Drosophila melanogaster: one gene and its partners. The protein of the gene in region 1 interacts with the protein of each later gene in a pairwise test. Each region holds a gene or a part of one and is shown in the gene's direction. Other genes may lie near its edges. The genes, in order: zormin, Pof, CG2218 and eEF1alpha1.

Region 1 (4,782 bases):
CTTTAAATATAGTAGTAGAAATATTTATTTAGTTAGTTCAAATTAAGTCTAAGGCTTGCAAAAATTAGAGAATTCCCAAATGGTTAGAAAATATATTTAAAGTAAGAATTTAAATTCACTTACGGCCAGTCGAAATTTTTGCCATTAATCATATGTTTAATATTTATTTATAACTATTTCTCCCACACAGTCACAGTCACAAAACATAGTGCAATTAATATCGAACATGTTTTACCCCAAAAATAAAGCTAATCATTTATAATTTTTTTCAATACCTCCTAACTTTTCAGGTATTTAGTTTTAAATTTTATGCTTAAGCAAGTAAGTAACTCGTAACTGCAAAATTTGAATGTAATCTCGAAAATCCATGAAAACATTGCATAACTTTGGGCTGCATCCGTGAAAAGTCATTGCCATCATCTGCACTTAACCCTTGAGTGCTCTTTTGGACTTTTCCACCCTAAATAATTTTTTTCAATTTCCCTCTGTGGGTGGCCCTTTCCCCCAAACATTTAACAAGTGGTCCTCAAGTGATTTCAATTATCTGAAATGTGAACTGGCAGTGGGTGCAGCGGGGAAATGGGGTTAAGAGGGGTTGGCTGCTTTTGTGAGCTTCGTCAAGTGGCTCATTAATCTCAATTAAAAAACATATAAATAAATCGCTCTGAGTGTGGTGAGTGAGTGAAAAGAGTTTATACTTAACGAGCTGATCATCCAGAAAGGCGAACCAAATATCTATGAGATTCTTTTCATGCCATTCGACCAGATTTTCTGACGTGCCGGCGCTGAAAGCATAATTCGATAAGTTCGAATCGTTGATAGCGAAAAATAATAACACACATCTGCAGCGCATTGATTGCCGCAACTGCTGTTGCACGCAAGAAGCGTCGGATGTTGCACGTTGAATATTGCACGAAATCCGGAGCCAAAGCCAAAGCTGCAAGACACGCATTTTGGGTGAAAAATACTTCATAAATTGGGGTATAGAGCATCATGGGTGGTGAGGGGATTTAAATGCGGGCGGTCAGTCAGTTTGCCTTGCATTAAGACACGATATCGTCTGGTTTCCTCCGCTGCTCTGGTGTTGTTATTTTGATCTTCCACTCTTCACCATGTTATTAAAGTACAAAAGCTGCACTTGAATATGTTGTGGTTTAAGGTACCTCGTCTTATATGGGGTGTATAAGACCAACGAGGAAAAGGTCTAGCCAAGGGGAAAAATCATCCACACATAAGATGTTAAGTTAGATGAATATTCAAAAGTAAATGCGAATAAATAAAGTGAGGGCATAAGAGGGTAGCAACAGTTCGCTTAAAGTTACCCTTTATCATCAGAATTACAGGGTACAAGCTCGCTTCATATCGCTTTACCTTCTCTTCGTATTGTAATTGCTGAAAAGCCGGGCGCAGGGCATTAAAAATTGAAATCATGAATTAACGACGCCGCGAATGCCAAGAGCACTTGTTTATTTATGTCGTCTCCCCTGAAGCCCCGCATCTTGCCTCTTTCTCTAGCGTCTAGCGTCTCCAGCCCTCTCTTTCACACTCTCTCATTTTCAAAATACAAGCCGGCTTTTCAAAACTGAGCTTAGCCAGTGTCAAGAGATCAAAACAAGAGAACCGCTACCTGCATGAATGAATTGAGCGAATCGGTTAAGTTTCATGGGCTGCACGCTCTTTATCTCTTTCTGATCGGCTGTCTCCCGTAGAATCTGCTCAGTCTTCGGTCTCCGGTCTTCAGTCTTCCGATCATTTAGTCAGTCTTGTTCGAAGTTCGCGGCGTTCGGTTGTTCGGCTGTTGGGAAAGCGGCGCGCGCGTTTTGATTTTCCACATCTCCACCGCTCGAATATAATGTGCGAATAAAAACATATCTATGTAAATTAAGTTAGGCAGAAAACGAGGAAGAAAACAATAAATTTGGCACTTCAAAAAAAAAGCGAAATGAAACGTAAATTAATCAGCCATAATTTACCTAGAACATTTTTGACATTCAAAAATGCTTGGCGCTAGTTTTTTTTGCGTTCACTCGTCTAAAGATGAAATCAACAATCTGTGCTAAATTTATTGTTGTTGTCGAATATTCAGTTTTGTGACGACCCTCAGAAAGCACAAACAAAATGTTTAACAAATAGAAAACGACACAGAATGCGCGAAAAAAATATTTTTCAAAAATATTCGGTGACCTGATGCATTGAAAGCTTATTTGTTTGAGTCATGTGCATATTTCAATATACTACAACAGTCCACGCCCCAGAAAATTTCAATCAACAATTTTCCATTTTTTTTTCTTTTAAATTTTTTGGACAACAACATATGGAGGCAAAGCATTTCCTCGATTGCGCTACTGTAAACTTTTATAAAGGGAACTTGTTCTTCCCAATTTTTGGTTTGCTGCTTATTTTTAGACAGCGCAAAGTACAATTAAAATAGTTTACATTACGCCAGCAACGGCGGCGACTATTAAAAATTGAGAGAAACACCAAAAATTACCTAATGGAGGCAGCTGGCTGCACACGAGCATACGCGGCGTATGCGTAATGTATTCAAAAATATCGAAAAATCCATGAAAAATGACTGACTGGCGACGACTTCTGCCAATGCAATTGGCACATGTTACAGATTTGACGAACATCCGCGCGCTTTATCTATTAGCTATAGTAGCCTGTATCTGTAGCATCGCAGTATCTGAGTATCTGGGCTAGAACAACAGTTTAGCTTCGTGGCAGAAATCGCCGCAAAAAATTACTCAATAGTTTGTTGTTTTAAAAATAAACGCGAATCGAGCATTGTCTTTGAGTTTTGGCGGGGCGGGGGGCTACCGAGGTTCTACAACGAGACTAGCACACGCATCAAAGGCAATTTTCTCAGGCTCAATATGCAAAAAGTACACACGATTCTCTCGGCTATATAGCCGTATATATAGACACTACGGAATAATAAACAGACACTAGAGCGACAGGGAGAGCGCGAGTATGAAGTCATAGTCATCGCGGCGGGCAAAAAGAATTCTCCGTTTCGAAAATCTACCGATTCGCGGAGGTTCTCAGACGATCGCCGGCGTTGATAGCGCTCGCAACGAAACGAAGGAACCGCCGAATCGAATCCCCTGGCTATAACTAATCCCAATAAATTAAATCCGAACGCGAGTGACTCAATCTAATAGTTCCACTTTTTCGAGCAGAGTTCAAAATGCAAAACACGAGACACAAGCAGGGGAAGTAAGCCAAAATACGAGAAAAACTAAACGACAGAGATTATAAAACGCCCACGCAAAACACACCAAACTACAAGCACTCACTCAATCCTCGAAAGTTAGTCAAAAAAAAAGAAAACAGAGAGAAGTAGAGACGAGCAGATAGAAAGAAAAGCAACCATGGAACGCCGCCAAGCCCTAGACTCATCGATGTCTTCGCTCTACTCGGTCGCCTCCTCCTCGAATCCCAATCCCCGCCAGCCGCACACCGGCCACCAACTTCAGACGCAGCAATCCCAGCAATCTCAGCAGTCCCAGCTAGACGCCTTCAATTATTCAGCAACAATGTCATCATCGTCGCCGACTCCAAGTCAGGCCATGTCCACAGCCATGTCCACGGGCACGGGCACCGGCACCGGCACCACCCACACCACACCACCATCCTCCTCCTCCCTGAGAGCCACCACCATTGGCACCGTTGTCGTCCGATGCGGACCCATCCAGCTGGTGATAGCGCTCCTACAAGTGAGTTGTACTCTTGTACCCCGCAAACAATAAAAATAGTAAACTAAAAAACGAAACGAATCCAAACAAAAAACACACAGCAAAAAGGCCAAGAAATGGGAAACAAACATGAAGAAACATTTATCTAGATACGGGAGAAGTGTTCGGAGAAAGCTCTTGAAGTGCGCGGAAATTTATGCGGAAGGCGATCTGGGAGGACTTCAAAAGAGATTTGGGACGGGGCATTGGGAGATCTTGAATAAATCATAAATCTAGAAGTGCAGTCAGGTTTCGAAAACACGGGGAAACATCTAGGATAAGCTGTGGTCATTGAAACATCTTATGAAAAAAGTTGCATTCGACTCAGTTTTATGTGAAGCTATAAAAATCCATAACAACCAATTAAGCCAGTCTAAATATATTAACCTTTTTTTTCAATATAAATGAGCTTATCATTTGAATGACGACATAATCTTTGTTCATTATTAATGACAGTGCAATTATATATTTACATTTTTTTCATTTTGCGTAGTGGGGCAAAAACAGTCTGAGAGATGTAAAGCAAAGAAAATAGTTCAATAGATACATTATCTCAGATTGTTATCAAATCATTTTTCAATCAATTTATCACTATAAAACAACGTTCGACTATTATTAAATGGCCCAGCCTCCAACCAAGCAAATGTTCACTACCAATCGGTCGACATTAATTGATAAATTTCTATAATTATCCCATAGCTAGCCCCTTCGGATCTGAGGCAAAACTATGTGACTTTAGCACTGAAAAATTCATGAACTTCTAATGCCCAAAACTGGCTTACAATTTTCGATTGTTTAAACCGGCTTCCAGCGATTTCCGCGCCAATTAGCACTCGAACAACGAAAGCAAAAGTTGTTGATAGCGGTTATAAATATTTGAAAAACGGCAGCAGAAAAACAAACGCCACAAAAGGTTCAAGGTTGTCTGACATCAGAGCAAAGACACAAAAGCCAACTAAACGTGACAAAAAGAAATGTATCTGCCAGATACTTTCGACAATTAGGCGCAGCTGCTACCTGTCTGGGTCCATTTCGAGCTGGCAGA
Region 2 (4,379 bases), on another chromosome or scaffold:
AGTCCTCTTCATCTTCGCCGGATTCCGCATCAGAATCCTCCCCAGAACTTTCATCTTCCTTGCCAACTTCCGCGTCGCTTTCCTCCTTAACTTCCTTCTCGTCACCGTTTTCCTCTTTCACTTCCACCTTTGGCTTCTTCTCATCCGGCTCCTCGTCTTTCGGGTTCTTTGATACATACTCGTCCTTGCCCAAAGCCCAGTCCACAAATACCTTTCTCCCGAGCAGCTCTTTGCCGTTGGAGTTCAGGATCGCTTTGGTGGCCTGGTTAATGGTCTCGTACTGGACAAAGGCGCAGCCCACCAGCTTCCCGTCACCTCGTTTCAGGATGTGTACATCCTCCAGCGTGCCCCACTGCCCGAAATGCTCGCGAAGCGAGTCCTCCGTGGACTTGTAACTGATGTTGCGCACGATGAGACGCGCTCGCTTTTTCTGGCGGCGCTCCTTCTCTTCCTTCAGCCTCTGTGTGTTAAAGGGGTTGCGGCGCTTCCGGACCCCGGTTTCTGGCTGAGATTGGGATTCGGCAGCGTCGTCTTTTAAAGATTTCATTTTTTTAAGTTCCATTTGCACGTGGAACTCTTGATGAGAACTAACGAACAAAACAGCTGATCGGCAAAATACCCAAAATGAAGGTCCATCCCTGGTATAACCGATAGAAAATGGGCGGGAATTTACAAACATTTCAAAAAATGTTTTTAACATTTTATTTGTAACAATTATCAACAATTAAAAAGTCTACGTTTCTTGTTTGGTCGCGAACAGTTGGTGGAACTCCGAGGGGGTCTTGAAGTAATCAACCAGAAGCATTGAGGAGCGGTTGCCCAGTTTGTACATAATGTGGCTCCAGGGATTTAAAAAATTCTTGTATTCAGCTATTTGACCGCGTTCAAAATAGTGTTTTACAGTTCCAATGGGTAGTTGGGACCCATAGACAGCCACGTATCTAAAAATAAAGTAAGTTACTACTTATAAATGTCATGTACTACCGTACAAAGTTACTTTTCCGAGCTCTTGTATATTCTCAGTGGATATTTGGCGACAAAAGCTCGAATCGCCAGGTTTATAAGCAGAAATCCACCCACAAAGTAGTACAGATCTGATTCCTGGGACACCAGAATGGCTATGTCCATTTTCTGGACCATATCCAGGTAGTTTATGGTTGTGGCATAGTGATAGGCGGCCACCGCAGCAAGTACAGTGGTCGTGGCAGTGGATATATTCTTCGTCCAGGTCACGTAGCTCTCGATAGGGGCCCGGTAAATCAGTTTATAGTTATCTGGTAGCCTGTCGCCAAAGAGGAGCTTCCGTTCCACTTCGCCGGAGGATGCATTCCGCCATTTGCGGAGCACGCTGCTGGTGCTAAATGAGAAGGTGCAGAGTGATTCAATCGGATAGGTCAATGGATAGGTCTTACTGTAAGAGCTGGAAATTCGGTTTAGCTAGTATTGGCCGTAAATAAACCAATTTAACACTTCGTAAGAGGGCCGCACACATTTTGTGTTTTATTATGCTGTCTTTGAAAACAATCTGGCAACGTGATCAGCTGTGCTGCAATCAGCGGCACTACCCGATGGTTGTCAAAGAAGAAGGTCTGGCAACGTATGTGCTTGAGGAATGCACCGAAGAATAATCAGCTGTGCCTCGAAGTTGCCGGATCACCAGGTCGCAGCAGCTATGAGTTTTGCGTCAGACTCGAATAATGATTAGAAGCCGACTCCTTCCGGAAACATTCATTAGGTAAACAACACAGCTATAGAACAGACTTTTCCAGTTTCCACAACTTTAGCTAGGAACACGTTCCACATTTTTCCACATTTTTGATACCTTAACAAAATGGATTCAAAACGCGCGGCCCTTGAATCCGGCGACGGTCCGGACGCCAAGCGCCTTGATACCACCGATGATCAAGACAAAGAAGCGTCGGGGGGCGACGGCAGTCAGGTTATGCTGGCCAAACACGTAGCACCCTACACGGGCCACGGATGTACTCCACCGATGGAGTCCTATTTGTTCGAACCGACTCCCGCCGGGAGTCAACTTCTGCCGTGGAAAACTAGCGTTGATTTGGACAACGACGCCGAGCTGGAGAAGCCCACCAGTGACAAGAAACGTAAGTTGATGGTACGCTCACATCCTAGTACTCTTATACAACAATTTCATTCAGCCGACACTGCCAAGTTGTCCCGTCGGGAGCTGGCCAAAATGCGCCGTGAACACACATTAAGGGCCCTCGCCCTGGAACGCGAGTTGACCAACAAACCGGGGCAGACACCCGCTTCCGAAGTGTTGCTCGTCCGCTTTCCTGATCCCGAGATTACTGCTCCCATGCTGGCAGGACTGTCCAAGGATATTCGGGATGTGGTCTTGCCCATTAGCGTGGCTCCACGATACTGTCTAGTGCATCTAAAGGCCGGTGCCGATGTGGAGGCCACCATCTGCGACATAAACAGGGTGCGCTTCGGTACGGGGCACCTTCGGGCGGAGCTTAAGCCGTTCTCCGATGAGGAGCAGGCCGAGTTCATTGATCCCTGTTCTCTGTATGTGGGCAACATACCGTTCAACATGACCACATCGGCCATAAAGGCCTATTTCGCCAACGCCATGCGCGTGGACATCGGAGTGCTGAAGCGCGAGAAGCGCGCTCGCTACGCCTTTGTGCGTTACGCCTCACCTGACCAGACCATGGAAGCGTTCAAGGAGCTGGTCGACTCACCGCTGAACAGCCGCACTCTCACAGTCCGCTATCGGCGACTCCGGAAGCGCGCCGGGATGCCAATGGTGCAGTGCGCCACCTCCTTTCAGGCGCTGCAATCCCCAAATGGAGACGACGACAACACTGACTGCAAGGTCATATCTCCACCGCCGTTAGAGTCTATCATAATTAGCGACAGCGATAACTGCTCAGATTCCAGTGGCAACGGCAAGGAAGACGGCAAGCGCAAGAAGAAGATAAATGAACAGGAAAGAGAGATTGAAAAGCTCAAGCGTCAAATGGCCGAGTACGGCGCTATTATAAAAAGTTTGCAATTTAGACAGAACAGCTTAGAAGGTCTGTGTTGATCTGTTTTGAATATATACTGAGCTTACAAAAACTACTTTTCCATTCGCAGATACATTTATACCTGACCTTACACCCAAAGTAGAGCCGAGCGTGAATCCCACAGGTTGTTTACTAGGATCCAATGCGGTGCACCTAATGCGTGACATTAAGAAAGAGTGCGACTATTTGGGCATCCCTGATCCCGTACCGGCTACCAAGCCGACAACACAAGCTCAAGATGACAGCCAGAAGAAAGCCAAAAGTATACTAATACCCAAATTGAGTTCTTTGACTTACTCTCCTCCTCTTCTCTTGCTTAGGATCGTGTTTTGGCCGCTTGTTTACGGGTCCTTTCAGACGAGGCACTAGTGCGATGAAGACTGCTGACGAGTACGAGAAGGATGACAGACTTGAGGAGCTCTATGCTCAACTGGAACGCGATCCTGATCCTTAATCTGTCATGCTACAGTGTACCAAATTACTCGTCGTAGACGAATTAGAATAATAGTTTAGTTTATTTTTTATTGGACTTCTGTTTCTTTATTTGTTGTATCTTCGTTTTCGTTTTTGTTCAGTTTCTCTTATTTCAGCGTACATTTATGGTATATAATATTAATAATAATACATAATAATACGTAAGTTAAATAATATTTCGGTTTTAAATATTAAACCCGAAAAAATATCGTTTAATGGACTGTCTTAAATATCACTTATATAATAATCATATGTACTCGATGATGATTTTCATATTAGTTTATATATGGTCAAGTCACGTATCGTTTTGTAAACTTAAAACACTTGAGTTTGCGAAATTGTAGCACAGCTGGAGGAGCATGCGGAGCTCCTTTCCCATGTGCCGACATTAACAATTATATCTAAACTAAATTACGTTCAATGCTCAGTATTTTATTTTTGTTTGGTTCTCTCCAATTCCTTGCATATGGCTCGTTAAATTTAATATCGCAATTTGTCATTACCAAAACAGCAAAACTACGTAGAGAACTTCTGGTTTGATATGACTTTTGATCGTTTTGTGATTTGAATGCGGAATGTTATAAACTATTTCATTATATTTAAGGCTGATTTTATTTACACAACAACAAAAGTATTTGATAAGGCACCTGTGTCACATGCTGATCGCTCAATTTACAATTGATATTCTGTTCGATTTCAATTTGTATGTTTTCATTATTCTTTTTTGGATTTCCTCTCATCGTATTCGATATGATGTGCGTAACATTTGAATTTCAAGCACTTCGGTGTCCAACGTGCAGTAAAATTTTGGAAACTTTACTCGAGTGGCTAGCGTTGATCCTAAGGTTCACAAATGCACTGCCCGTA
Region 3 (4,945 bases), on another chromosome or scaffold:
TCCGAAGGCCGCGTTTAGCCGCTCACTGACCTTGGTCAGCACCATGGTGTTCTTCTCCACGGAAGTGGCCCACACCATGTGGTCCACTATGTCGCCAGTCTGGTAAATGAAGTCGCACTTGGAGTTGGCCACCGCGTTGTCCAAGGCTGACTCGAAGGCGTGCCAAGGCAGATCGCAGTCCCGGTAGTCGCCCCAGTATCCAGCTGCATCCGACGTACCCTCGGTGGTCTCCTTGTTCCTCTGACAGCACATGGGTTCCGCACAAGTGGCCAGGCTGCCGGGGGTGTAGTAGGGATCATGGTGAATGTCGGAGAACTGGCAGATCCTGATGTCCGAGTCCTGAAAGGTGGGAGTGTCCGACTTGGGGCCAGCCGAAGCCTCTCCAGTATTGTCTATAGTCAAGGTCCAATTGTAATCTTGATTTGTACCGGTGTTACAGAAGTTAAACTCCATGAACAAGGAGCAGAAGCTCTGGGAATCACTCTCGGAGTTCCTCATGATGTACTCCACGGAGGGCAGGTTGGAATCGATCAATCCCTCGCAGACCTCCTCCGTTTGCAGATTCAAGCGGCGGCACACGTCCATAGCGAATTCCTTCATCAGAACGGAGCTATTCTCCCCGTGGAGCTCGCCGTCCTCCTCGCGAATGGTGCGAATCAAAACCCGCGTCACCGAGCGACAGGCCACGCACGCAAAGAAGCTATCCCTGGGCTCTAGATCGGGCATGTTCCTGGTGAATATATCCTTCTCACTGTGCGACTTGGCCAGCTGATTGGTGAGCTTCAAGAACTCCGCCGTCTCCACTCCGGTCTTCAGGAAGGTGATGTACTCCCTGGCCAGACGCTCGGCTATGTCGTCTGCAATGGCGGACAGGATGTGGTCGTCCAGGTCGAAGTCCACGGGCACTCCCGGCAAGTTTACGGCGGAGACCACCAGGAACCCGGAGGTCAAGGCGATCGCCAGCAGGATTCCGATTGCTTTCATGGTTCGCAGAGCAACTGGAGCATAGTTTCCACGTGTGGGGCCATTTATAGCTTTCGGTTATCTCTCAGCCAATGGCCACCCCATTAACCAGGCCGGAAAACGCATTCATGGCAGAGATTAGCCTAATCTCGAATAGTAGAACTTTTATATGATTATATTTTTGGCATGAGAAGTGGCCACAATCTGCCTCCGGTGGGGCAGATTTCTAAATAATCATATCGCAAAAATTACCATTTTTGACCATTCACCACAAATAGGCAATTAATAAGTCATATTACATATTTCGATATAACTTTCCCTTTTTAACTAGATACTTTATGATTCAAAGAAGCCAGAGCCTATAGTGTAAACTGATGAACCTTATCATATCTGCTTTGCTAATTTAAGTATAAATGATAAACAAAGTTCTTGAGATCGTTTTTGCTTATTGAACAAGAAATCAAATTAAGTATACACTTTTTCAAAATGTAAATGAATATAACTCAACCATAGCAATCGTGTTTTTCATTGTTTCATTCGAAACGAAACAGATTTCGAAAAGGCTTGCATTATACGTTGAAACAAATATTTTAACTCATTCAATTTTTGCCGCCCAAGCGAATAGGTGTTACCGTACGCGAGTACTGAGCGAAGTCCATCTGACTGGTCGCACCACCACTACCGCCCGGGCATGGTCACACTGCACAAGCGAGTGATTTATAAATATTCGAAGAGGCAGGGCGATAATTGCAATTGAAGCAGCGTTGTGAGATGCCAGCCGAAGTCCAGGCCAGGCTGTGAGTGTTCAGGATCGGCTGAGAGCAGGAGCGCACCCAGTGCGGGATTAGCAGGGGATTACCAGGCAGGATTAGCAGCCTCCGCAGGCAGACGCAACAACAAAAGATTCCCGAGAAGTGACGCCATTTTCATTGCGAATAAAGAGCAGGTGGGGCACAGAGTAGATATACGCCGTGAAGAGCCACATAACAGCAGCCGAGAGTATAGCACAGTGGGCAGCCAGGATGAGCAGTCTGATCAACTTCCTCAACCCAAAGCTTAAGCCCTCCGTAGAGACCGATGCCGTCTGCGAGGATGGCTACACTGCGGCCAATCTGGTGGCCGACGACGTCGAGCAGCTGGAGCGTGGATTCATGTGCTTCGCCGTCTGCAAGCCGCCCATAGAGATCGTATTCGACTTCCCCAAGGCGGTGGACATGAAGGTCATCAAGCTGTGGCCCTCCTGCGGAGCCCTACGATCCACTGCCTTCGAGCTGCATGGACGACACGATGGTATCTGGGAAAGGGTTGCCTTCGTACGCGATCTGGGGCGTGGCGTGGACTCGGTGACCTTCTGCTACCAGAGCGACTACAACTCACGGAGCAGCTCCAACTCGGAGCAGAGCGAGAAGGTGTTCTTCTTCAAGTCCGCCCACAAGATCCTTGCCAGCACAAACAGCGTCAAGGTGGTGATCCGGGCCACGGAAAGGTGTCCTCCAGTGCTGAGGAAAGTTCAGATGTGGGGACTGCCCGCTCGTTCGCTGGACAAAGCCGATCGCGAGCTGGTCAAGACCATCTGGAGCGAGATAAGCGATCCCTACGGCCAGAGGGACGCGGCCCAAACGCCCACCGGGCAGAGATCACCACCGCGGAATGTTCCAGAGCTCAGGGACCAGTCGACCCTCTCTATTCCTGAAGAGTTCCTCGACTCCATCACCTGGGAGCTAATGGTAAATATCAGAAAATCCTAGCTTTTTATGTTTAAGTAGTAGTACAACTGAATACATACCCATGTCAATTCATGAAATCAATCGTTTTGCACGGTTTTATTATTCATAATTCTTTATAATCTTTATGAATCAATTATCATGTCTTTATCAAAACCAAACAAGGTAAATATCGGAAGTCATGTAAAGAATTCATTTTCTTCATAATGAGAATTGCATTATAATGTCCGAAACGCAACAACACTTAAATATAAAGATAATAGGATGCTCTGTGAACTGTTTACTTTGTAGCTCTCCTTATCAATTCTCCCATTGCCTCTTCAGATCTTCCCCACCGTGCTGCCATCTGGAAAAGTGGTGGACCAGTCCACCATCGACAAGCACGCCGAGGAGGAGGCCAAGTGGGGTCGCCAGCCCTCGGATCCGTTTACAGGCCTGGAGTTCAATGCGCAACGCAAGGCGATTCTCCACCTGGCCCTAAAAGCGCGCATCGAGAAGTTCCTCATGGAGAATTCGGAGCACTTCAAGGCGGTGCCCCGTTCGCTGGGCACCTCTCGCCAGCGTCGTCGTCACGCCTCGCAGTTCGCCAGCAGCACCTGTCAGCCGGGACAGATTAGTCCGGCTGCCGGAACCTATTCGGCACTGAGCAACGCCTACAAGCAGCAGCAGCGGAAGAGCAGGGCCACTGCCACGGCCACATCCTCATCGGCGGCATCCTTCGGCGGATCTCCGCACTCGCCGCCGGCGGCCAAAAGAGCAAGGCACAGCCAACACGGTAGCGCCTGTGCCACGGTGACCTCGGCCACAACCTCCATCGATCAGGCCATTCAACAGGCGCTGCAGAAGGTGACGCGCTTTAGCCAATTGCCATCGAACTCCAGCGCAGGCTCGGGATCCTCAAGTGCTCCGCCCGCCAGCTGCATCAACTGCCGGAGTGCGCAGTTCGGCTACGAAATCCGCACCTGCCGACATCTGGTCTGCCGGGAGTGCCTGGTGCTCCTCTCGCAGGATCAGCAGTGCGTGTGCAAAGTATTCTTCCGCTGCGCCGACGTCGAGCGCTACCACAAGCTGGATCCTTAAGAGCTTCCCCGTACATCTCCCAATCGACCGCCTTCCGTCGATTGCCGCAATGAGTTTGGTTCTCCCCATCCGGTTCAGTTTGTAAGCCAGTCAATCGCTTTAGCCCCTAGGCCTCGTCTACGTTAGTTTATAGTCATATCAGAGTCGGTCTGGTCGCAGAATCGCAAAATCGCAGTTAAGCCAAATGTGTACACGCGCGAGTCCCTCCCGATTCGGCAGTATGTATCAGTATCAGGTCACGTTTAGTCATAGAGCAGATTACGGATTACCGATTAGCAATAGAGAGTGCGCGCCTAGTTTTTGTAGACACTTTATATACAGTCCCCGAAAGACAGGATCGTTCAGCGCGAGTTTATATATTCATACCAATTCTACCTAGAATAAAGTACAATAAAACCTAAGTCCAATGTGTAATCAATGGAGAGTAGTAGCGATATATTCCACAGTTTGGCATTCATTGCGTTTTTTAAACTCGTTTAAACAAAATGTGTTTCTGTTAAGTTGAAATTGTCGAAAAGCTTAAAATTTTAAATTAGTTTTAGTTGTAATTGCTTTATTTGTACCGGTTATTGTTAATTTTGAATCGGAAATAATTGTGCATAATTTTATGCAATGTGTATTTTTTTATCACTACTCTCAATAAATATAAATAAAACAAAATAGTGGTTTTTAATATGTTTACATTTCTCACTTAAGAATTATTTTTTACGTTATATATCAAAAAAATCTAATTTGTTATTTTTTACATAATAATTTACATTCTCTTCATGGTAACCTACATTCCTTTGTGGCGCCCTCTACTGTCACTCTCTTAGTACTACTCCTTTCGCGTGTTATCGATATCGAAGAGAACAGCTGATTACACATCTGTTCTGCGATATTTCAAAATCCTTTTGGTTAGTACGTTTTTTCTAATTTTTAATGCCTGGTGAGGCAAATAACACGCCTCAATCCGGACGGAGACCCCGACTCGGATTGAGTAGGCGTGGTTGCCAGTCAACGCCCTTAATAAGACTTCAGAGAGACGATTCCGCTGCAAATACACCAAAATGTAGTGAACAGGAGACTCCGCGGGCACCGCCTTTATCGCTGAGCTCTCGCAGGATAGGATTGTCCAAAAGCAGGACAGGCTTGTCCAAGAAGAAGCTAGAGTTTGCTGCGGCCCACGGAATTAAGGA
Region 4 (6,671 bases), on another chromosome or scaffold:
TGGCCGCACCTTAAACAGGAAAAAACACTCTGTTAGGACACGTCACTTAAACATTATGTTGGTAACAATACTATCTAATTCATCATTTGTTATCAAGGCAACGGGAAGACAAGTTCCCAAAAAACTAGCTTGTAATTAAAGTAAGGGTGCTGGAATTATCAACTGTCTTATCACACAAGTACAAGTGCCCATTAGGCATACAGAGAGAAAAACGACTTGGTACTTATTTGAAACAGCAGAGTATAGTCTGCACTCTTAGCAGTGCAGATAATAATTCATTTTTGATAAAGATAAGTGATGCCTTAAGTTAACTATGTTATAATGAAAAGAGCAGTTTTATTGCAGTGTACAACTTTTTCAACTTCATCCCTGTGTATTTATGCTTGAATACTGATAAGGTTCGTCATGAGGGAATCAAGTCTCCATGCCAAGTAGTTCAACAGCTCTTTGGGGATTTCGAAAGCCGGCCGGCAAAAAAAACGCTAATAATTTACCTAGTTCATTGTCCAAGTGTGAGCTTATAGTTTACCCCTGATAATGGGCAAACAAATGGCTCAAAAGAGAGTAAATAGGCACAGTAAATATGTGTTATGTACTAAACAAAAATGTATTAAAAGGTTATTGTGTTCAGTGTGGATTACGATGGAAGTTAAAAATGTGTCTACTGACATGAGAAATTTATAGCACAATCAGCATAACTTTTGTGAGTAGGCAGGCAATTAAAATTGAAGTTTTAATATGGTTGGTGTAAACTGTTGGGAAATTACATTTGTATGAGAACTGTGAGTGTTTCAGACTATGATAACCAGTTTCAAGCTAAATCTAAGTTAACCCTTAGAATTACACATTCCTGGGATTATGGGTATAATGCATAGGCATAAGAAACTATAATAAAAGATGCGCTATGTACACTGGGGCCCCTATGCCTGCTCACTATCATTAGCCAGTGGACAAGTGGAGCAGGAATTGCACGGAAATTGTACCAACTAGGCACTTTGGCACCCCGCGCTCTAAAATGGCCGACGGCACCAATACTGGCATATCATCATTGCCCCTCTCTTTGCGTCTCGTTTCGTTCCGTCACTCGTTCCTTCTTTATTTGCCGGCAAAAGCAAGGCAAACGCTGACGTGTACTTTGCGCTTGCGATGGCCGGAAAATCGGGCATCGGTCGGCACTGGGCATTGGGAATCGAATTAAGTTGCGGACGCAACAAGCGGATTATACGCGAATCGCACACGCAATGCATTTGTTGTAGGATGGCGCCCGGCCACGCCCACTCACTAACTCACCAGGGGGCGTAGAACATGACCAGCGTCGTCTCGTGTTGTTTTAGGGTGGTGGCAAAGTCGTCGTCCCCCAGTTCCAGGACATCCTGCTCCGCTCCGGACGAGATGGCGATGAAGCCTAGTAGGAGCACTCCAGCAAGGCGCCACATCATTATTTGGGTTCACTTGAAGCGATATCGGTGAATAATTCAAGTTCAACTAGGCCGTCGAACGCCTACTTCTACAACAAAAACTGAGTACCGGACCGGTTCGGTATTTTTCAACGATTGAATTCGCTTTTTGCCTCTTTCGCCACGTCGCTTCTTATTCTGTTTCGTCGTAGTGTGGCCAGGTGGGGCTAGGCCGAAAATGTCTAAAGTTGGAAAAAGCTCTCAGTTGTGAGCTTTCCTGCATATGTAAACAATAAATAAAGATGGCTCATCATTTATTAATGACTAATGTCTATATGTGTGGGTTTTAAATGCTTTAGCTATAATTCTTTCCAGTCACACAGAAAAGTTGAGATCTAGATTTAAATTAATTTAATTGATACCGATTTATAATAAAATTTTGTCAAATTATCATTTCATAAAAGATGGTAATTGCATTTATTGTTAACTGATTTCGCAAGCATAACAATAATCATATTATTAATAACTAATTAATTAATTTCACAAAATTAGGAAAACACTTAGGAACTTTTAATTGCGTCCTATATAAGGGGCAGGCTAACAACTTTTGTTCTATGCACAATGAATAAATTTATTGAGTACAAGTGAAAACTGAGTGAAAAAATAGTCTAACAAAAAATATTAAGCAGTAAGTTACAAATTCAAATAAATATTAGCATTCTGATGAATTCCAGAAGAAAAAGTATTAAAACGTGAGATCTTAAGTTATAAATTTTTACAATATTGTATAAATTGATACAATACCAAATTACTTATAGTTTTATTTGTAGCATATTTTAGTTGTAGCAACGGACGCCAAAAAATGTATAAATAAATGAAACGTATTACATAAATTTAAACGATCTCAAGCTTCTATTGTTATTTAAAGTTCTATTACGTTAGGGTTCACATACAAATTAAAGTTCAGGTTCTAGTCTAAAAGTTCAAAATGCGGACTACTAATGCAATTGTTATAGTTTTTAAATATTAAGAGATATGTGTTCCAATATTACGTATAGAAATTATAGACATCGTTTTGTAGAAAATATTTTTGGAATCACTGATTATTTAGTTTTTCATATAAAAACAATGTCGAGCAAACAAGGTTTTTTAAATCCCTCAATCGTTAGGTTATTGTATTTTGCCACTTTCAATCACTTAAATTTCAATAAAATGAAGTGCTTCATTCGCGCGTAGTGGAAACACCGCAGTGAGAACACGGTTTCTGCTCTTTTGACAGTTGCGTAGCTTCGGTCACACCATGTGTCAAACGAGGCTTCCTGTGCTGAGCTCTGCCGAACGCTCGTTCACTTTGTTCGAATCCGTCGCCGCTTAGACTTCGTGATTTCTCATTCAGCTTATTCGAGAGTAAGTTTTACCTGCGAGGCTATAATTAAGTAATTTCTGCAACGGGACTGCAGCCAGAAAACAATTTATAAACAAATATGCAGCTGAGACGCCGAATTTGTGCATATTTCCAGTGTTTTTCCTGTGTGTGTGTAATAAACCCGGAGATAACCTCTAACTGCGGTTTTCCAAAGTGAAAGGTGGCCATAGAAGCAAACACGTGGCAAGTCTGCAAAGGCAAAAATTTTAACTGGCGTTCCCAGTTAAAGTTCCCAGCATTCTCAAAATAATTTTCCGGCTTTTCCGGCCGCATTTTCGCCCTGCAATATGGTGCACTTAGTGTGTAATTACTTTGCCACGCCCACGCCGGACACAGAGGTCATCCACCAGATGTGCTCATTAACCGAGAAAAAAAAACGTGCTTTCTCTCTTGCCTTTGTCATGACCTATAGATATTCCTTATTCTTTCTTTTTGCGGCATGGAATTCTAAAATGGCGACCCAGTGGCGTGAGTCAAGTGGGCGAAAAAAATTCGCCTGGCAACAAGCGAAAAAATGTGCTTTTTTGGGTTTCCAGCCCATTAGCATATCTGGTGAAATGGCACTCGCATCAGCTATTTCGCCATTTCCAACCGACTCCATAATTGGTTTTGGTAAAATGGCTGCCGCTGCACTACGTTCTTGAATAATTCGTTGTGTGCCCCTCTCTTTTTCATTTCTTTCCAATTACCAATTGTGCCACCGCGGCGAGATCGCTTGCATTTGTACAAGTCACACACGCACACTAATGCACATCCGCCATTTTGGTCTCTCTCTCTCTCTATTCCTCTCTTACTTTTCCTCCGGCCGGCAACAGCGTCACACAAATACACAGGCATAGATATACACACGCATAGGCAGATAAGCACATGTGTATTTGCGAATTAAATTTGCTGGAATTTTCCTTTGGACTCTTCGATTTAACATGATGATGATTTTTCAGTTCTGCTACTGAAGACAGTTGACGAAAGCAAAAATACCAAAATCACTGAAACAAAATCGAGTTTCCATATGGAATTTTATTTGCACGCTCTTTTCTGTAGTTGCGCCCCACTCGTTTTACCCACACCCTTACATGCGGGCACTGGACCTAACCTCAAAAAACACGTTTTGTACGGCTGCAAGAGTTTGAGGTTAGGTTGTGCTCGCGCATGCAAACAAAAGTCGAACGTACGCTAGGGAAATGAGAAAGTGTTATACCCACTAATAATTGTAGTTGTAATCCCACCGAATGCTAACGAATTGTTTTACCCTTTGTTTATTCCAACCTCTCTTGCTCGCCAACCCGCCGAACCCTGCAACCTTCCAATGTTCCAACGTTCCGTCAATCCAACACTCGAATACACACAACAGCCATAGTGTAATCATCCAACATGGGCAAGGAAAAGATTCACATTAACATTGTCGTGATCGGACACGTCGATTCCGGTAAGTCGACCACCACCGGACACTTGATCTACAAGTGCGGTGGTATCGACAAGCGTACCATCGAGAAGTTCGAGAAGGAGGCCCAGGAGATGGGAAAGGGATCCTTCAAGTACGCCTGGGTTTTGGATAAGTTGAAGGCTGAGCGCGAGCGTGGTATCACCATCGATATCGCCCTGTGGAAGTTCGAAACTGCCAAGTACTACGTGACCATCATTGATGCCCCCGGACACAGGGATTTCATCAAGAACATGATCACTGGTACCTCGCAGGCCGATTGCGCCGTGCTGATTGTCGCCGCCGGAACCGGAGAATTCGAGGCAGGTATCTCGAAGAACGGCCAGACCCGCGAGCACGCCCTGCTCGCCTTCACCCTGGGTGTGAAGCAGCTGATCGTTGGTGTGAACAAGATGGACTCCTCCGAGCCACCATACAGCGAGGCCCGTTATGAGGAAATCAAGAAGGAAGTGTCCTCTTACATCAAGAAGATCGGCTACAACCCAGCCGCCGTTGCCTTCGTGCCCATTTCCGGATGGCACGGCGACAACATGTTGGAACCCTCTACCAACATGCCCTGGTTCAAGGGATGGAAGGTGGAGCGCAAGGAGGGTAACGCTGACGGCAAGACCCTGATCGATGCCCTCGATGCCATCCTTCCCCCAGCCCGTCCCACCGACAAGGCCCTGCGTCTGCCCCTGCAGGATGTGTACAAAATTGGCGGTATTGGAACAGTACCCGTGGGTCGTGTGGAGACTGGTGTGCTGAAGCCCGGTACCGTTGTGGTCTTCGCCCCTGCTAACATCACCACTGAGGTCAAGTCCGTGGAGATGCACCACGAGGCCCTGCAGGAGGCCGTTCCCGGAGACAACGTTGGCTTCAACGTCAAGAACGTGTCCGTGAAGGAGCTGCGTCGTGGCTACGTTGCCGGTGACTCCAAGGCTAACCCCCCCAAGGGAGCCGCCGACTTCACCGCCCAGGTCATCGTGCTGAACCACCCCGGTCAGATTGCCAACGGCTACACCCCCGTGTTGGATTGCCACACCGCTCACATTGCTTGCAAGTTCGCTGAGATCAAGGAGAAGGTCGACCGTCGTTCCGGCAAGACCACCGAGGAGAACCCCAAGTTCATCAAGTCTGGCGATGCTGCCATCGTCAACCTGGTGCCCTCTAAGCCCCTGTGCGTGGAGGCCTTCCAGGAGTTCCCCCCTCTGGGTCGCTTCGCTGTGCGTGACATGAGGCAGACCGTGGCTGTCGGTGTCATTAAGGCTGTCAACTTCAAGGATGCCTCCGGTGGCAAGGTCACCAAGGCCGCCGAGAAGGCCACCAAGGGCAAGAAGTAGCTGGTTTGCTTCCACTCAACAACAACAACAACACGCAGTAGTAGCAGCAACAACAAGCATATAACCAACATCATAATGCAGCCAACAACACCACTCAATAATACCAGCAACAGCAGCAGCGAACACAATAGTAGTATAACACCAACACCTGTCCTGCGCAAGATGACCGATAAGATGATGTTTCAGCAGAAGCATAAGTTTAATTTCTTCCATCGAAAGGAGTTTCGACGGATACGAATGCTAAATGCAGACGAGGCCGCCTAAATTGGGAAACGGTGGATCCCAAGGATAAGAGTGCACACTGGGAAAACACTTGCATTTATGCATCCACTCCTCATCCACTTCCCCGTCGATCTTTAGTTTACTAAATATGGTATGATGCACGGAGTTGACTTCGTTTTATCATATCATATATAGGAATCCTCTGTAGCATTTATGATATCGTTTAAATTAACCTTTATACTTTGATATGTATCATTTATCTTACCCTACTTTTGCACACACTACTTTGTACACAAGAAAAGAACCAGAATAGAAGCGATAACTATATTTACAAAAAAAATAAAAACCCTATTTTTGTATTTCTTTTGTTTTTACCACCCAGCCCGTAAAAGAGCACTCTCTTTGCTTGTTGCCTCCCGATTTTCAGCGCCATGATCGATCGTCCCTAACTCCAAGTTCACTTATCGTCGATGCCACAAAGTACAAACAAGAGCTAGTCGAAGAGTACAACAATTGAATCTGACAACAAATACCTCAATCGTTTAAATAAAGCAAGCAATTGCATCTGAAGAATAATGAATATTTTTTATTGTATTTGAGGGGGGGGGGGGGGCTTTTATTTCTCATCGCAAATAGAGAAAAATGCATTGATTTATTTATTTAAATAATAACGAACGAAGTTGGAACAAGTGTTTTTTTATAATTTCTGTTTAAAGTTATGGGATATATTATTTCCTTCGTAAAATCTGTATAAAAACAAATTAAAAAATGTACTAGAAAATAAACTAAGATCGTAAAATACATATATGGATTTAAATATAACTATATTTACATTGGAGTAATTTGCACAAAAAGGTGAAACA

The links.
Region 2: the proteins of zormin (region 1) and Pof interact in a two-hybrid assay, tested with the Drosophila melanogaster proteins (one large-scale study listed by BioGRID).
Region 3: the proteins of zormin (region 1) and CG2218 interact in a two-hybrid assay, tested with the Drosophila melanogaster proteins (one large-scale study listed by BioGRID).
Region 4: the proteins of zormin (region 1) and eEF1alpha1 interact in a two-hybrid assay, tested with the Drosophila melanogaster proteins (one large-scale study listed by BioGRID).

Annotation. Positions count from the first base shown.
Region 1 is NT_037436.4:2,148,682-2,153,463, reverse strand, and holds the start of zormin (zormin), read left to right. Parts: upstream 1-1,763; 5' UTR 1,764-1,854; intron 1,855-3,182; 5' UTR 3,183-3,374; coding exon 3,375-3,719; intron 3,720-4,782.
Region 2 is NT_033778.4:24,667,740-24,672,118, forward strand, and holds Pof (painting of fourth), read left to right. Parts: upstream 1-1,657; 5' UTR 1,658-1,735; exon of another isoform or gene 1,736-1,784; 5' UTR 1,785-1,831; coding exon 1,832-2,108; intron 2,109-2,162; coding exon 2,163-3,047; intron 3,048-3,108; coding exon 3,109-3,300; intron 3,301-3,358; coding exon 3,359-3,492; 3' UTR 3,493-3,838; downstream 3,839-4,379. Other genes in the region: CG4806 (uncharacterized protein), read right to left, coding at 1-562; CG33228 (uncharacterized protein), read right to left, coding at 734-941, 998-1,357, 1,413-1,492. UniProt on the Drosophila melanogaster protein: Probable RNA-binding protein that specifically binds to the fourth chromosome and may bind an RNA that spreads the fourth chromosome.
Region 3 is NT_033777.3:30,424,881-30,429,825, reverse strand, and holds CG2218 (uncharacterized protein), read left to right. Parts: upstream 1-1,549; 5' UTR 1,550-1,985; coding exon 1,986-2,690; intron 2,691-3,011; coding exon 3,012-3,767; 3' UTR 3,768-4,399; downstream 4,400-4,945. Other genes in the region: CG15533 (uncharacterized protein), read right to left, coding at 1-984; CG15536 (uncharacterized protein), read left to right, coding at 4,689-4,945.
Region 4 is NT_033778.4:11,889,381-11,896,051, forward strand, and holds eEF1alpha1 (eukaryotic translation elongation factor 1 alpha 1), read left to right. Parts: upstream 1-1,754; 5' UTR 1,755-1,864; intron 1,865-2,015; exon of another isoform or gene 2,016-2,085; intron 2,086-2,741; exon of another isoform or gene 2,742-2,804; intron 2,805-3,742; exon of another isoform or gene 3,743-3,815; intron 3,816-4,161; exon of another isoform or gene 4,162-4,174; 5' UTR 4,175-4,194; coding exon 4,195-5,586; 3' UTR 5,587-6,140; downstream 6,141-6,671. Other genes in the region: ERp60 (endoplasmic reticulum p60), read right to left, coding at 1-9, 1,291-1,439. UniProt on the Drosophila melanogaster protein: This protein promotes the GTP-dependent binding of aminoacyl-tRNA to the A-site of ribosomes during protein biosynthesis.